Macaca fascicularis: one gene and its partner. The protein of the gene in region 1 purifies or fractionates together with the protein of each later gene. This does not show direct contact. Links are inferred from orthologs where the notes say so. Each region holds a gene or a part of one and is shown in the gene's direction. Other genes may lie near its edges.

Region 1 (4,120 bases):
TTGACCCTTGAGCCATATGAAAGAGACCATGCCGTGGTCGTGGGAGTGTACAGGTGAGCAGGGGCCCAGCAATACACCAAGACAGACATCTCTGTCCCTTGCACCCCAAGTGCCATGATCCTGGGGATCCTTCTTCATCACGTATCTTCCTCTCACAGGCCACCCCCCAAGGTGAAGAACTGAAGTTCAGCGCTGTCTGGATTGCTAGAGATGTGTGTTGATACTGTTGCACGTGTGTTTTTCTATTAAAAGACTCATCCGTCTCCCATGTCTGCTGCTCATTCCTCCCCTTGACCTGCTGACACAGGGCGCATGCACCCTTGGTTAACTTTGCGGGGTCGTGGGGTAAATTCTCACCCGGTCACAGAGCCCATGCTCCATTTGTAGCTGCCTCTCGCGCAGTCGCAGCCCGGATTTCAGTTCTTGGGTGTGATTGGTAGCTCACTGCGCATGCGTACAGGTAAGCGGCCGTCTCGCGCAGGCGGAGTGGCAGTCTGGGTCACGTGGGGGGAGCGGAGAGGGCGGGATGGGGGCGGAGTCCAGGGCGTGGGGGGGCCGGTTTGTTGTGGTCGCCATTTTGCTGGTTGCATTACTGGGTAATCGGGGCCCTGGCTTGCCGCGTCCGCCGGATACCCTCAGCCAGTGGGCAGGTCTGAGCTCGGGCTCCCCGAGCAGTTTGAGTCCCCTTGCCCGCTCCCTCAGGTAACGGCGCAGGGACGGTGGGGCGGTCGCAGGGAGGTGGGCAGGACGGGATCCGCCCTGCCCGCGTCGCCGCGAGACTTAGCGCGAGGCCAAGGGAGGAGAGGAGGGGGGTGGCGGGCAGGTGCGGGCCCTGCCTGGCTATTCATAGTTGAATTCCTGGAACCGGCCAAGCCCGAGGGAGCAGTTGCAGGAGGGAGGCTGGGAGGGGGTAGCCGGGCCCCACTCCCGCCCTTTGTTTGGGCTCGGCTCCGCGGGCCGCTTCTTCGTTGCCTAGCAACAGCTGCCCTAGGCTGTGATTGGCTGAGCTCTTGGCACCAGCGACCAATGGCACAGTTGTTGCCATGGCAGGTGCCGATTGCCAAGCTCAGTCGGGCCCCGCCTGCCGGTCTCGGCAGGCCCAGGAGGGCCTCCTGGGTGGGGGGCGGGACGCCGGGTCCCTAGGGGCTGGTGGCCACTCAGGGTGGGGCGTGTCGCCCCTCCCCCGTCCACCTGCTCTACTCTTCCCCCTCGTGCCCCGGGCTGACCCTTGTCCCCTCCTCTCCCCGCCCCTGGTGGCAGCGGCGGCTGCTGTTGTCACCCACCGGGCCGCCCGTCCCGCTTGCCCTCCCTGCCGCGGGGCCGGCCGGGCCAGGGACAGGCGGTCGCCTTTTCAGCGCTGCCACCGCCGCCATGCTGGCCGCTCGACCACCCGCCTGGGGGCCCCACCGCGCCCCAGCCCCCCGTGGGCCCCGCGCCAGCCCTGACCCGGGTAGGGGGTGGGGGCTGGGAGAGATGGTCCTGGTGTGGGAGGGCCCCGGAAAAGAGGTTGTTTTGGGGGGAAGCTCCAAGGGTGGAGGAGTCGTGGAGTGGCGAGGCATGGAATAGGAGAAAAGGATTTGACATGGGGGAGAAAATGGCCCATTGGGGAGATTTTTGCTGTGGCTGACAACTCTGGGAGGAGAGAACCCTATGTGATACTTGGGCATTTGGCTTTGAGGCCCTGTAGGAGTGGACTCAGTTGTGGAATGACCCTGGTATAAAGAGGGGTGCCTGGAGAAAGGTGTCTGGTAGGAATATTAGGCAGTGTGTGTGTGTGTATGTAGGGGGGCAAGGAAGCAGTGTAGGGGAGAAAAGATCACTCTAAACTGTGGGAAGAGACACCTCCCATCAGGAGGAGTGGGCCTTGATTGGGATGGGGTCTTGGAGTAATGTGGGGAAGAGCCCTGTTGTGGCAGGGGGAATTGGGATATAGTACAGGGAGACTGCCTGGAAGGCTGGTTCCTAATATGGAGGACCTGATATAGGGAAGCGGTCTTGGCATGATATGGAGAGGGTCCCCTAGGAAAGTTGTGCCCTGGTAGATGAGAATGCCGTAGAGATAGGACTCTGTTCTGTAGAGGTTCTCAGATAACTTTGGTGTGGTTGGGAGGTCCCTAAGGACGCTGATGTGGTTTTAGGGCTGCAGAGGATTCTGCTGTGGTTTGGGAGGGGAACACTCATGTGGTTTGGAAATCCTAGAGTTCTCTGGGCTGAGGGAATCTACTGAGAAGGGTAGATCTTGAAGTAGTGGCCCTTGCTGTACTACGGGCTGAGATCCTAATGTTCAGGGAAGACTTTAGAAGGGTGGGATCTTGTGTTAGGGGCCCTGGGGAGGGCCATGAGTAGTAATGAGAAAAGAATGAAGCTTACTCCTCTGCATACTGTCTGTGGTTTCTATCTTTTTTCTTTCCCTCCTCCGAATTATTGGTGTCTTCCTGTCCTCCTTTCCCTGTGATGGCTCATATCAACCCCTGCCTGGCCCCCAATCATTGTCTTTTATGCGTTCTCTTTGTGCTGCCTTAATCATTTACTTGGTCATTATTTGTCAAGGGACTGCTGTGCCACCCCCCACCTGGCTGCCACTTCTCTGCCCCTTTTCTTCATTGCTACCTGTTGCTCCGTTGTGCCCTTTTCCTCTTCTCTCTGTTCCCTGCCTTTCTCATGCCCACCTCTTCCGCGCCTGGCACTATTCACATATCCCTTGTTCCATGTTGTTTTCCTACCGCCTGTCTGCTCTCAGGTGTCAGCGGCGGTGGCAGCCGAGGTGCAGGATGCAAGAAGGCGCCCCCCGGCCGGGCTCCCGCTCCAGGCCTCGCTCCCCTGCGGCCCTCTGAGCCCACCATGGCCGTCCCACCGGGCCATGGTCCCTTCTCTGGCTTCCCAGGGCCCCAGGAGCACACGCAGGTACGCGTTCAGCTGGCTCCTCACCTGCCTGGTGGTAGGGGGAGGCTGGGGATAGAAGGGTCTCCAGACCAAAATGTAGTGTGGTTGCCCAAGACAGTCTCCTGGGCACATAATGGGTCCCATGGGATTGGAAAATAACAGAGGAGTTTTCAGGCAGAGTCAGGGTTTGGAGAGGTTGGGTTCAAATGCTTACCCAGTGATTAAATTACTTAGATTCTCCATACTCGAGTTTTCTATTCTGTGAAATGGGGCCAATAATGATACCTGCCTCACACGGTTGTTGTGAGGATTAAATGAGTTAATGGTATGCATGTAGAATGCTTAGAATGGTGCCTGGCGCATAGTAAATACCCAATAAATGCTCACTAAGAAAAGTTCAGAGTGAAAGATCTGGAGGGGGTGAATGGGGAGGGGGGTTGAGTCTAAACGGTCTTGAGTCCAAGAGGCATGGGTGGTGCAGGGCAAAGCTCTCCAAGGCTGGAGGCAGTGAAGGCAGTGACATGCAGAGCTTGAAGCAGGATGGAGTGGGAGGTCCAGGGGCCAGATCAGATCCAAGAGTCTTGGAGTGAAAGAACTATGCAAAGAGTTGGTGGGGGTATGGGTTGGGGCCCAAGGGATGAGGGTAAATTGAGATAGAGGAACTTCAGAGGATACCCAGAATGGCTGGCTTCACAGTGAAGAATGGGGAGGAACAGAGCCCAGATTTTCCATATAATCTCTCCCACTGAGGTTCAGAAAGGAGTAAAGGTGAGGGGTGAAAGGTCAGGGTTCACTCATTCACATCACAGGTCTGAAAGAGTATCCATTGTGTGCCAGGCCCTGCTTTAGGCACTGGAGGTACAGTAAGAACAAGAGAAAGTCTCAGCCCTGGGGGAGTTTCTTTCCTAAATGGGTGGAACAAATACAGACAGCAACCAAATACATGATGCGCGAGCAGCCCTTATAGTTCTTCCTCTTGAGGTTGGAGGTAAAGGCCCGCCCTCAGTGCCCACCCCTCACCCTGCCCTGCAGGTATTGCCTGATGTGCGGCTACTGCCTCGGAGGCTGCCCCTGGCCTTCCGAGATGCAACCTCAGCCCCGCTGCGTAAGCTCTCTGTGGACCTCATCAAGACCTACAAGCACATCAATGAGGTGGGCAGGGGCTGGGGGATCCTGGGCTGGGTGCCGAGGGTCTTGGCTGCTGGCATGAGTCACTCACCAGTCCCCATCTCCTGCC
Region 2 (4,236 bases), on another chromosome or scaffold:
CCCTTCTAGTAGACATCCCCACACAGCACAAACCAGAAGGATGAGGTGGAGGGGAAGCTAATACTCTCCCCAGCCCCACCCCCTGCACAAACACATTCTACTCCATACCTGCCTTAAACACCCACATCATGATCGGGCCCAGCCTGTTCAGATCCCTGGATTCTAGAAAGCAGTGGGGGGTCCCTAGGGCCTGTGCAGATTCCCTGGGATAGGACTGGTCTGCCTACACCCAACTGGATGTTAAGAATCTCCCTGACTCACAGGTTCAGTGGATTGGGAAGAAAAAAAAAAATTCAAAAACATTTCCCCGAGAACTCAGGAAAGGCCTGGCTAAGCCAGGTCCAGTTGGATCTACAGCCTTGTCCTCTAACTGATAGTGTATGTCACACTTGGCTATGAGGGGGCAGCTTTGGTCCTCCAGCAGCTTCCTCTCTGCTGTGGATGGGTTTAATAATAAACAGCTCGGCCGGGTGTGGTGGCTCACACCTGTAATCCCAGCACTTTTGGAGGCCGAGGTGGGTGGATCACAAGGTCAGGAGTTCGAGACCAGCCTGGCCAATATGGTGAAACCCCGTCTCTACTAAAAATACAAAAATTAGCCGGGCGTGGTGGCACATGCCTCTAGTCCCAGCTGCTCTGGAGGCTGAGGCAGGAGAATTACTTGAACCTTGGAAGCTGAAGTTGCAATGAGCCAAGATCGCGCCCGCTGCATTCCAGCCAGGGCGACACAGCGGGACTCCGTCTCAAAAAACAACAACTCACCGAGGTCTCCAGCAGCCCATACGGCCCAGATACCTAAAGACCTTCCCACATGCTGCCTTGAGTGCCATGGCGGGAGGGAGCCCCTGGGGCCTCCCTGCAATACAGGCCAACTTCCTGTTTGTGCCTGTGGGTAGGATTTTATGAGTCTAAGAGAAGCCCAGTCATGCCCCGTGGGGGGTCAGAACCGGCAGGCCTGCTCACCTGGGCAGACACCTACTCTAGGGAGGGGGCTGTGCTGGTTCTGCTTGGGCAGCCCCACGCTGAGGTGTGTGCATGGTGGGGGCAGGTGGGAGCTGCTCTGGTGAAACTCGAGCCTCCTTTGTCTGATTCCCAGGGGTTTTCCCTATATTTGGGGATTGGGTCAAGAGTGGACCGGGTTGGGCTCCCAACGGAGCAGGGAGGGTGGCAGAGTCAAGTTCTATAGGGCAGCTTAGTTTAAGGCAGCCAGGTAGTCGAATTATCGGTCACGAGATGCTCGCCCCCTTCCCCACGTCAAAAACCAAATCCAGTAAACTGTGAAGGCGAAGGCCAGAGGGGCAGCCTCGGCCACCGTCGAGTCCCTGTGGGGCAGGGAACTGGGTAGGCTGTTGGTGGAGTGCGGGACAGACCACTCCCCTCCCTGGGTGGGGGGCGCGGCCTGAGCCGCCCCGCCCCGCCCCACCAGGTCAGGCCAGGCGGGCGCCCGGAGCCGGGAGCCGGGAGCCCGGAGCCGGGAGCCGGGAGCCCGGAACCCGGAGCCCGGAGTTCGGAGCCCAGAGTTCGGAGCGGGCTAGGGAGGCGGCGTTGTCGCGGCGAGGAGGTGGGCGCGCTGGAGCAGGAGCGGGGCCAGAGCTGGAGCCGAGGCGCAGGTGGCGCTGGGTGAGTGGTGGGGCCGCGGAGGTGCAGGAACTCCTGCTTCCCGCACATCCCCGCTCCTGAACGAACTTTCCGCTTCTGGGGAAGCTAGGGGTGGAGTGAGGAGGGGGGTCCGCACTTGGTGGGTCGCCCGCGAAGAGTCCAAACAGGGAAGCGACACGAAAACGCACGCCGACGGGCCCCAAACACGCGTGCACAGACCCACGCCCGCACTTGGGACACGCGAACACACATGCAGTCGGAAAGGACGCGCCCAGTTTTGTACCCTTGCACTCCCAGGGACAGCGCCAATCAGCCCGCGCGGACCCACAGCGGGCAGGGCACTCTGCGGTCGCGCATTGGGTGCGGGAAAGGGGCAGCCCCGTGACCGCCGACGGGGGCGGGCCGGGTGGGACGCACCCAGAGGTTCCTGCTTCCTGGCCGCCCACAGGTGAAGACGAAGACGTAAACAGGCGCCGGGCACGTGACAGCTCCGCACACCAGTGGCCTGTGCCCCCAACCCCACCACGAGGCCCGTTTGCTTGGTTCCAGGCCGGACGGCGTTCCATTCTCCTCCTGGAGCCGGGATAAGCCCTCTCCCAGGAACCGGAGCACAGCGCCCCCTGGAGCCGGGGCGGAGCAGGAGGGCCGGGCTGCTGGGCAGGGCTGGGGTTAACCTGGGCTCCTGTACGTCCTTCCCCCAGCACATTCTTGGTATCTGCATCCCCGAAGGTTTCGGAGACAGGCCCTTGATGGCAGTGGACAGCTGCCCCCGCCTATTCCCGCCAGCCCAGAGAGCAGCTGCCTGAGCGCCTGCGGGTCCCCTTCCTACCCTCACCTCCACTCCTTGCCGGAGTAGGAGTCTCCTCCCCCGCAGAAAATGCATGAGTGTAAACGCCCCCTCAATACCAGAGTGGGCCTAGACCCCTAGAAAAAGGAGGACGAGCCCCTGCCCCCAGGGAATGAGGGAGTGGGCAGTAGCTCGATGCCTTCTTCCCGCCCCACCCCCTACCCCTACACACACGCTGAGCCCAGCTGCCGCCTGAGCTGGGCAGGCTGCCAGAAAGGGGAGGAGGTTCTCGGTGCCCCAGGAGGCAGGGATCAGGGCAAGGCCAGAGGAGGGGGCTCTGTTGGGGAGAGGGTCTCAGTCTGTTCTTGTGAGGCTGAGGGTCTGGGGTGAGTCTGAGGGTGGCTGGGCTGTGTTTCCCTTTCCAGGGAAAAAGAAAAACAACCCTGTCCATGGAGCTAAAAATAGAGCTGAGAGCCGGCCAGGGCTGTGGCCTGGAAGGGGGGGATGCTCCTTCCTGGGGCCCGGGCGAGCTCTGGCAGGCCTTGGCCCTGCGGGGGAGGGGGTGGTTAGGGGAGAAAGGCTGTCTTTGCCCAGGGATGCAGGCATCAGCTGACCTGACCGGGTCACCGAGACCCCTAGGGGAAAGGCTGTGCGGTAGAATATTTGCGAAGCATGGCTGTAAGAAGTTGTCTGTGTGAGTGACTGTGAATAGAGGCTGTCAATGCGTGAAAGATGGTTAGGAGACTAAGTGCATTTGAGACAGTGACTGGGTGCGAAGGACTGCGGATTGTTGTGGAAGCCTGTGCCCAACAGGCCTGTGACACCGTGTCTGTGTGTGAGTTGGACTGGAAGATTATGGAAAGAAGGAACGCGGACCCACGTGACAGCTGAGACTGCTTGTGGCTGCGTGGTGAGGCTGCATGTGGGAAAGGTCGCGTGGGTGTTAGGGAGACTGTATTGTGTGCGAGAAGGTGAGAATATTTGCGACCTTGAGAAAGTGGAATGTTGTCTGCCGTGCGGCTCCTGTAGGTTTGGGCTGTAGGCTTGGACCGGTTTGCCCCAGTGATTGTTGGGGAGCCAGGGGCCGCTTCTCTCCGAGAAATGACCTCTGTCTTAGCAAGCGGTCCCGAGGGGAGGCTGGGGAGCACGGGGCCGCGCCAGAGGCCGGCCTGGGTTCGCGGGGAAAAGGGCACCGTGCCGGGGAGTGGGGCAGGGCCCGCGTGGTGGGGGGCGGCTGGGTGTGTTCTTCGAGCGGGCCGCCAGGTGGCGCCGCCTCTGCGAAGCCCAGGTTGCCGCCTCCAACCCGCCCCTGGTGGGGCAGGTGCGGACCCAGCCTCGGCCTCCGACTCGCGCTAGGGCGCGGGGCCCCGGCACCGGAGAGTGGGGGACGGCCGGTCGTCGACCTCTCTCGCTTGGGACTCTGAGGCTGAGAGCGTGTCAAGGAAGCTTCGCTTGGAGAAGCGGAGGGGGAGGGGCGGCCGCCGCCGTGCCGTGGCCCTTTGTGCTGGAACAATGACCAGCTGCCGCTGGCCCCGGGGCCCCGGCTGGGGCGGAGGGTGACCACCGCCGCCGCCGCGTCGAGCCGAACCGAGCCGCCGGACACGCAGTCACAAGGCGTCGGAGGCAGGGCTCCCGACTGCCGCCGAACAGCCCCTACGTGCGCCCCGGCCGATTCGCGTGACGCGGGTGCCTGCGCGTGTCCCTGCGCGTGTCCCTGCGCGTGTCCGCGTCCCGGGGCGGAGACGCCCCTCGGACCCTCCCCCGCGCGGCGCCGCCCACTCGCACTGGGCGGGGGCTGGCCAGGGCCGGGGGAGCCGCGGAGGCGGGGCCGGGCCGGGCGGCTCCGAGTG

Evidence for each region. Proteins that work in one complex are often made in the same cells at the same time.
Region 2: the proteins of DYRK1B (region 1) and LZTS2 purify together in Homo sapiens (affinity purification with mass spectrometry; 3 studies listed by BioGRID and IntAct, counting the BioPlex papers as one, with this or other methods). This does not show direct contact. The link is inferred for Macaca fascicularis from reciprocal best matches to the Homo sapiens genes DYRK1B and LZTS2.

The regions. Positions count from the first base shown.
Region 1 is NC_088393.1:46,953,389-46,957,508, reverse strand, and holds the start of DYRK1B (dual specificity tyrosine-phosphorylation-regulated kinase 1B), read left to right. Parts: upstream 1-1,302; 5' UTR 1,303-1,371; coding exon 1,372-1,450; exon of another isoform or gene 1,451-1,748; intron 1,749-2,740; coding exon 2,741-2,904; intron 2,905-3,915; coding exon 3,916-4,035; intron 4,036-4,120. Other genes in the region: FBL (rRNA 2'-O-methyltransferase fibrillarin), read left to right, coding at 1-53, 159-183.
Region 2 is NC_088383.1:109,955,036-109,959,271, forward strand, and holds the start of LZTS2 (leucine zipper putative tumor suppressor 2), read left to right. Parts: upstream 1-1,424; 5' UTR 1,425-1,620; intron 1,621-2,016; exon of another isoform or gene 2,017-2,047; 5' UTR 2,048-2,310; intron 2,311-2,954; exon of another isoform or gene 2,955-3,357; intron 3,358-4,216; exon of another isoform or gene 4,217-4,236. UniProt on the Homo sapiens protein: Negative regulator of katanin-mediated microtubule severing and release from the centrosome. Required for central spindle formation and the completion of cytokinesis.